Linked DNA regions of Ovis aries. The protein of the gene in region 1 binds, or shares a complex with, the protein of each later gene. Links are inferred from orthologs where the notes say so. Each region holds a gene or a part of one and is shown in the gene's direction. Other genes may lie near its edges.

Region 1 (4,118 bases):
ATTGAATCTCAACATTAGACCCATGAAATAGGTACCCCTCTTTTTTTTGACACATGGAAAGCAAATGCTCAAAATGCCACACCTGCCCAGTGGTAGATGTAGGATTCAATTTTTCTATTCATCTGATTTCAACTTCACCACTAGAGTAAGTTGTGCAAATAAGTCTAAGAAGACAGGGAAAGATAAAATCTCATTTGGCTGATAGCAATCTAAATCTCCATCGACAGAGGAACAGATAAAGAAGATGTGGTACAGATATACAATGGAATATTCCTCAGCCAGAACGAAGAATGAAACAATACTGTTTGGGGCCACATGGATGGACACAGATATTATCATACTAAGTGCAATAAAGCAAATGGAGAAAGACAAATATCATATGATATCACTTATGTGGGGAATCAAGAAAAAAAGATATATTTAGTTTATTTTCAAAATGGAAAGAGACTCACAGACATAGGAAACAAACTATGGCTACCAAAGGGGAAAGGGGGAAGGAGGGAAAATTAGGAGGTTGAGACTAACATATCCATGTTACTGTATATAAAATATAAAACACAGATAACCAACAAGGACCTACTGTATAGCACAGGAAACTCTACTCAATATTTTGTAATAAACTATACAGGAAAAGAATCTAAAATACATGCATATATATATATAAAACTGAATCACTGTGCTGTACACCCAAAACAGATACCACATTGTAAATCAACTATGCTTCAATTAAATATTTTTAAAAAGATTTTTATTGAAATAACATTGTTTATAGACTAATATCAAACGAATGGCCATCTTTATTATACTGAGTCTTCCTGTCCATGAATATTTCATATAGTAAATAAATATATATGTGTGTGTATACACAGCTCTTTATGTTCTTCAATAATTACTTTATATTTACATGCAACTCTAATTCATTTTTATTTAAGTAATTTGTTATCATTTTATAGATAGCTTTTATTCCTATTATGAAATGGATCTTTTACCTGTTATATTATGCTATGTATATGAATGGTTATTGCTGGTATGTAGGAATGTTACTTATTTTTATGTGCTCATCTCAGTATTGACTTTTTCAAACTTCTCTAGTTTCTGGAACTTGAGCTTTTCTGTGAAACTTTGTATCTGTCCTCAAAGCAGCAAAGATAGTTTCTCTTGTGACTTCAATGCTACAGAACATATGTAAGGGTCAAAGTTTCTAATAAGACAGCCAGAGCAAGGTCCAAGGTGTCTTTGCTTATCACAAGGTGTCTTTGCTAAAATCTGTTCACTTGCAACAATGATTTGGACGAGATTGGCTTGCATTCTTTCTTTCATCTTGTTTTTTGCCCGCATAGCAGCTGTATCGGTAAGTAGAGTTCTGCTCTTCAGGGTATTTAGAAATATTAATTCTAGTATATGTTATCCTTTTTCTGTATATTTATTTCTTTCAGATTAACCATCTTTCTAAAGGAAGTGGTAAGAACTAATTGAAATACATAGAGAGTTTTCTGAACTTTTCTTTGCTCAGCAAGACTGATAACAATTTTCTCCCCACTTTTAACAGTATATGATGGAGAATTTGACGAACAGAAGGATATTTCAGAAATCAACTTAGGTGGGTGTAATTTCTGCCATTATTAATATCTTTAAATAATTTAAAACCCTGCAATAGAATTGCTGAAAATCTCTTAACTTTCAGAGTATGATATTGAGTAACTTTAGGAGAGAACTATTCATTGGTGCTTCATTAGAATTTTCAGCATTTCTGAAAAATGGAAACATGAAAAGAGAATAATGGTTAGACTGAACTTTCTAGAACTAGTGAGTATTCAGTGGCTCTAGAAATATATAACAAAATTTTTGTTTATAAAAAAATCATTTTTCCAGTCTTCATTTTGAAATGATCACCTAGTACCTCACTTCCTATCTCAGAAGTCCCATTTCGATCCCTCGAGTGCAAGAGTTTTGATACCGATGACCAAAAAGTTTCCTTCTAATTCACCTCTCACTTTTCAAGATTCTTGGACAAGATTTCTTTTTTTCATTGACGTATAGTTGATTTACACTATTACATTCCTTTCAGATGTACAACATAGTGATCAAATATTTTTATAGATAATATTCCATTCATAGTTACTATAAGATATTGGATATATTTCCTGTGCTGTACACTGTATCTTTGTGACATTTATTTTATAAACAGTAGTTTGTACTTCTTTATCCCCTACCTTTCTCTTGCCCTTCCTAACCTCCTTTTCAATCTTCACTGGTAAACAGTTTGTTCTCGGTGTCTCTATGTTTGTGTTTTATTATTCACTAGTTTGTTTTATTTTTTAGATTTCACATGTAAGTGATAACATAGAATACTTGTCTTTCTCTGTCTGACTTACTTTACTAAGCAGAATACCCTCCAAGTTTTCTTGTTCCAAAAAAATGGCAACAGTGGATATGACGATATATGATATTTATTAGCTTTTACATTTGTTCAATTAAAATGGATTTTTGTATTGTTTTAAAAAGAGTTTAACCACATAAAGATCAACAACTAAAGACAACGATAGAAAGGACTCATTTTATAAGAGATGCATTTTAGCAATTCTTGTTCAAATCTTTCTCTTTTTAAATCCACATCTAGCTGCAGGATTGGACCTCTTTCAAGGGGACATCCTCCTGCAGGTGAGTACCTTCTAGGGACACCAGAACATTCCCACAGGACTGGCTGTGACAGGACAGTGAGCCTCTGCTCTGTGTCCAGCCCTGAGATGACCATTATGAAGATGAAAGAATCTCAGCCATAATTTGTATGGACAAAGACTTCCGCTTTGGTTGCTGGTTAAAAAAAGATGAAATCATTAGCGACCAGAAAAAAGAGTCTATAATTATTAAATTCCTTGTCCACCCAATTTTCCTAAGAAACGAAGAATGAGAGAGAAGGAAATCCACCGCCATACTGAAAGTGACTATTTCAGTTTTGAGGAAATGTAGGTCTCTTTCATTGTTGTTCAATCACTGAGTCACATCTGACTCTTTGCAGTCCCATGGACTGCAGCACCCCAATCTTCCCTGTCCGTCACCAGCTCCCAGAGTGTGCTCAAACTCATGTCCATTGAGTTGGTGATGCCATCCAACCATCTCATCCTCTGTCGTCCCCTTCTTCTCTTGCCTTCAATCTTTCCCTGCATCAGGGTCTTTTCCAATGAGTAGGCTCTTCTTCAGGTGACCAAAGTATTGGCGCTTCAGCTTTAGCATCAGTCCTTCCAATGACCATTCAGGGTTGGTTTTCTTTAGGACTGACTGGTTTGACCCACTTGCAGTCCAAGGGACTCTCAAGAATCCTCACCACCACGGTTACTGCTACTGCTAAGTTGCTTCAGTCGTGTCCAACTCTTGTGCAACCCCATAAACAGCAGCCCACCAGGCTGCGCCATCCCTGGGATTCTCCAAGCAAGAACACTGGAGTGGGTTGCCATTTCCTTCTCCAATGCATGAAAGTGAGAAGTGAAAGTGAAGTCGCTCAGTCGTGTCTGACCCTCAGCGACCCCAAGGACCACAGCCTTCCAGGCTCCTCGGTCCATGGGATTTTCCAGGCAAGAGTACTGGAGTCGGTTGCCATTGCCTTCTCCAACCACCACGGTTAGGAAGAATCAGTTCTTTGGTGCTCAGTCTTTTTATGGTCCAACTCTCACATCCATACATAACTACTGGAAAAACATAATTTTGACTATATGGATCTTTATCAGCAAAGTAATATCTCTGCTTTTAATATGCTGTGTAGGTTAGTCATAGCTTTTCTTTCAAGGAACACGCATCCTTAATTTGGTCTTAAAAATTTATCTGGAAATTTCTATATTGTCTGTAATGAATATTTATTGTTTTTATAATTTGAAGACAACTTGACTATTTGAATAGTGTGACAGATTGTTTGTGATATGGGAGTTTACAGAAGGGGAAAGGAAGCCAAGGAGACCAGCTGTCCAGTCAGCTTTGCCTTTTGTTTCTGCAGAATTCCAGAAATGGCCTGAGAGATCCAAGCACCAGGTGGAAGTTCCCCATTCCTTACATCTTGGCTGACAATCTGGGTAACACTACTTGTTCTTCATTAGAAGCCTTGAGTTGAACTCTTCTCTCTCCCC
Region 2 (4,342 bases), on another chromosome or scaffold:
GCAATGTCATATGATATTTGTCTGGCCTACTTTACCTAGTAGCTAATCTCTAAATCCATGCATATTGCTTCAGATGGGATTATTTCATTCTTTTTCTTGGCTGAGTAATATTCCTTCATGGGCCTCCCAGGTGATGCTGGTGGTAAAGAATTCACCTGCCAATGCAGGAGATATAAGAGAAGCAGGTTCCATCCCTGGGTTGGGAAGATCCCCTGGAGGAGGAAATGACACCCCATTCTAGTGTTCTTGCCTGGAGTATCCCATGGACAGAGGAGCCTGAAAGACTACAGTCCACGGAGTCTCAAAAAGACACAACCGAGCATCTGAGCACAATATTCCATTATAAACACATATATACATATGTGCAAAAGTGTTAGTTGCTCAGTTGTGTCTGACTCTTTGAAACCACATGGACTGTAGACTGCCAGGCTCCTCTATCCATGAGATTCTCCAGACAAGAATACTGGAGTAGGTAGCCATTCCCTTCTCCAGGGGCTCTTCCTGAACCAGGTATGAATCCTGGGTCTCCTGCATTGCAGGCAGATTCTTTACTATCTGAGTCACTAGGGAAGCTTATATATATATATAATATATATGTGATCTTCTTTATCCATTCATCTGTCAGTAGATACTTAGATTGTTTCCATGTCTTGGCTATTGTAAATAGCACTACTATGAACATTTGGGTGCATGTATCTTTTCGAATTAAGAGTTTTCTCTGGATATATGCCTAGGAGAGGGATTATTGGTGCATATGACAATTCTATTTTTAATATTTTAAGGAACCTCAATACTGTTCTCCATAGTGACTGCACCAATTTACATTCCCACCAACAGTGGAGGAGGGTTCCCTTTTTTCCACATCCTATCAGCATTTATTATTTATAAACATTTTAATGATGGCCACTCTGACCAGTGTGAGGTAGTATCTCACTATGATTTTGATTTGTATTTCTCTAACAATTAGCAGTGTTGAGTATCTTTTCATGTGCTTCTTGGCCATGAAACAGAACCCTTTCTAGCCAGATTTAAAATGCTTTGGGAATCTCACCAGAGCTTCATGTATATGAAGGGCTTAAAGGGCTTAAAGCCCTTTTTCTGATATAACAAGAATGGTGAACCCAGGTTGTGGAGTTTGAAGTCACGGAGCACCATTACCACTGATTCTGGGCTCCAAGCCTGAAATAAAGGTGAGTGTGGCCAGGACATTGACTGGAGGCAAGGTGTTAGGGGTAATGAGAGAGGAGGTGATAGTCTTCCTATTCTGACTCAGCTAGAGCCTTGAACAGAAATCAGAATTCAATACCGATCTCCCAGGAGCCTTGACCCAAGTGTTTGTATTGATTTCTTGGGTAACAGGTACACATGAATGTGAGATTACTCTGGGGTCTAAGGTTATAGATAGTGGCAAATCCCATCCAAAGTACTGACTCAGCGAAATCTACATTTGGAGTTTCAGAGATAAAATAGAACATTGTGCTTCATATCCGGATCACTGGTTTAGATTGCGATTACAAAGCTGCTCAAATTGGCCTCAAGATCCTACAAACAGCCTCATTCCTGCAGCTCCGCACACTCACCCCTTCTCACCATAGGATGAGTGTGCTCCTACTCCTGGTGCTCTGCACCCTGGCCATGGGCTGCGGGGCTGCCTCTCCACCCCAGCCAGCCGCCAGGCCCTCGCCTCTCCTCTCCCTTGACTGCAACAGCTCCTATGTGCTGGATATCGCAAATGACATCCTGCAGGACATCAACAGGGACCGAAAGGATGGTTACGTGCTGAGCCTCAACCGAGTGAGCGATGCCCGTGAACATAGACAGGAGGTAAGTGGTGGTCCCCGGTGGGGCAGGTGTTTGCACAAGCTGGGGAGGCTGGCCAGGGCATGGGAACGCAGAGACACCTGTTGGCTGTTGCTTTCCGAGTCAGAAACCTGCTGAGTACACGCTGCTCTCCTCTGCTAGGGTGCTACTGCCTCTTAGTAGTATTTGAAACAAGTGCTAATGGTATCCACTCTGAAACGTGTCCCATCATTTACAGGAACACTTCACAAACATCAGAGCCTTTGGCTTTGCCATAAAACAGAGTTTCTTGGCTGGTCATTAGAGGTTTCTGCTTCATGTGGGTTGTGCATTTCTCTTCCCCCTTGCACAGGCTGGTCTGGGATCTCTGTTCTATTTCACACTGGACGTGTTAGAGACTGGCTGCCATGTGCTCAGCAGGACATCATGGAAGAACTGTGGAGTGAGGATCTTTCATGAATCGGTGAGTACTTTCCCCAGGAGCTTGAGGGGGGAAACTAGGTGTCCTCTGTCTACGGGATGAAGATTATTCAACATGTGCCATCTTTAAATGTCCCTCTTTATAATCTCTGGGGCAGGGTGCTTATGTGGTTATTTCAATTTGATAGAAGAAAGAATTTAATCAGACAGGGTTTCTGACGCTCCCACTGGGGTCATGACCTCAGAATAGAAATGTTACCCCCAAACTGTTTTCTGCCTCCAAAACCTTCCTGTAGGCTCTGAGCTAGGCTTAAGTTGAGGGGCAAAGATCTGAGGTATAATGCTCTGGATGTATGTTTAAGGAAAACTAGAAGCAATGGCAGGGGAGCTTTGAAATTTGTTTTAGTTTTCTTTATTTTGTTTTCAAGAACACTTATATGAGATTTGAGGCTGGGGATAGGGAGGGCTGTGGTATGGGTGCTCTCAGAGGTGCTATGAAAGGATTTCATAGTATCACAGAACCTAAAGGGAGTCAGAATTGATCCTTTTAAAGATGGCCATTGAAGAGGCTTGAAAAGAGCATCATCAGTTTTCATCTATCCTGAGATTATTTTCATTAATTTATATGAAACTTTATATGTGATATAAATGTGATATAAGTATCTAGAAGTGAAGTGTTTGGCAAAGATGTCTTTTTCTAGTCATTTAACCAAACTTGCCAAACTGCACCTACCTGGTTTGGGAAAGCAAAACAGTCTATATACCAGTCTATATACCCTGTTGTGAATTATGTTTGTTAGGCACCAGCTTAATAGACAAAACATATTTGTGCATCACTAGCTGCATTGGAGAAGGAAATGGCAACCCACTCCAGTGTTCTTGCCTGGAGAATCCCAGGGACAGAGGAGCCTGGTGGGCTGCCGTCTATGGGGTCGCACAAAGTCGGACACGACTGAAGCGACTTAGCAGCAGCAGCAGCAGCAGGAGCTGCTATAACACATATACCAAAAAGGATATACCAATTGCAAAATGATAGGACTTGGTTTCCCATTCATGTAAAGTTTAAAATAGAAATCCTTGATGAGGAAGGGGCTTTCCTCCAGGAGTGATTTGGAGACTGGATACTTCCATGCTGTGGCTCCCTAGACTCTGTAGCTTCACCTTGTAGCTTCAGTGGTCACCATGCTCATTGCATCAAGCAGTGGAAAGGGAAAGAGAATGGAGGGCAGATAGCATGTGGGAGGGCTTTACAAGCTAGACCTAAAAGTGGATATACATCCCTTCTGCTCACTTGGCTGTGGTTAGAGCTCATTTACACACAGTCATGTCTAAGCAGGAAGGAGGCTGGGAAGAAGTCAAGCTGTGTCTCAGGTGAAGGTTAAATTGTTTAATGATTAGCTGGCAGTTTACTCTACCCAAAAACTATGAAAATTGACCTTGAGTTTCTTGTTCCTTAAAAATGAAATGTCCAGTTTCATTTCAGGGGTATTTTTTAAAGTCTTAGTTCATTCCACTGTGTCATGAAGTGCATTTGTTGGTTCTAGGTTTATGGCCAATGCAAAGCAATATTTTACATTAATAAGGAAAAAAGAATTTTCTATTTACCTGCTTATAATTGTACTCTTCGCCCAGGTAAGAGATCACTTTCATTTTTTTCACTTTAATAACAGATGAAAACAGAGCATTTAACTCTCCTATGCTGTAGTGTATAGGGTTTCTTCCATCCTCACTTCTTATTCATCCCAAAGCCAGGTTCTTTGTATATCCAGCATTTGCACTGCTCCTCTTCCCACAATTAATCTTTCTAAATAACCTGCAAAAGCTCTACTTTGTGTCCTACATCAAATCCTAAATTTTCAGTCTGATGTAAATGGCACAATCTCCATGACTGGTCCCCAGGCTTCCTTTCTAGCTATCTGTGCCTTATTTCACTGACTGTACCGATTCTGCACTCCGTTCAACCAGATGACTCACTGTTTTCTGAACACACGTCACATTCTCCAATCTCTGCATCCAGTTTGTGTTCCTCCCTCTGCTGAGGATACCCTCCACGGATAACCTCTGCCCTTGGAACTCCTAAGCATTCTTTAAAGATCATTGCCGAGGCTGCTTCTTCTACTGT

Evidence for each region.
Region 2: the proteins of MEP1A (region 1) and FETUB are in contact, whole or in part, in a cryo-EM structure (PDB 7UAI), measured with the Homo sapiens proteins. The link is inferred for Ovis aries from reciprocal best matches to the Homo sapiens genes MEP1A and FETUB. Residues at the interface, in NP_005579.2 of Homo sapiens: Asp126, Gly127, Cys128, Trp129, Ser130, Glu131, Val132, Gln145, Gly146, Cys147, Tyr149, Ile152, His155, Glu156, His159, Tyr164, His165, Gln167, Ser168, Leu184, Gly186, Tyr187, His189, Asn190, Asp192, Tyr194, Tyr214, Gln215, Phe217, Ser218; in NP_001362516.1 of Homo sapiens: Phe109, Phe110, Lys144, Lys145, Tyr148, Met149, Thr150, Cys151, Pro152, Asp153, Cys154, Pro155, Ser156, Ser157, Ile158, Ser196, Ser197, Gln198, Trp199, Val200, Val201, Gly202, Tyr205, Phe206, Thr242, His245, Trp246, Phe249, Val250, Ser251.

Annotation. Positions count from the first base shown.
Region 1 is NC_056073.1:19,969,989-19,974,106, forward strand, and holds the start of MEP1A (meprin A subunit alpha), read left to right. Parts: upstream 1-1,272; 5' UTR 1,273-1,282; coding exon 1,283-1,351; intron 1,352-1,436; coding exon 1,437-1,461; intron 1,462-1,549; coding exon 1,550-1,600; intron 1,601-2,620; coding exon 2,621-2,661; intron 2,662-3,988; coding exon 3,989-4,064; intron 4,065-4,118.
Region 2 is NC_056054.1:201,343,465-201,347,806, reverse strand, and holds the start of FETUB (fetuin-B), read left to right. Parts: upstream 1-1,491; 5' UTR 1,492-1,596; coding exon 1,597-1,824; intron 1,825-2,152; coding exon 2,153-2,263; intron 2,264-3,764; coding exon 3,765-3,852; intron 3,853-4,342. UniProt on the Homo sapiens protein: Protease inhibitor required for egg fertilization.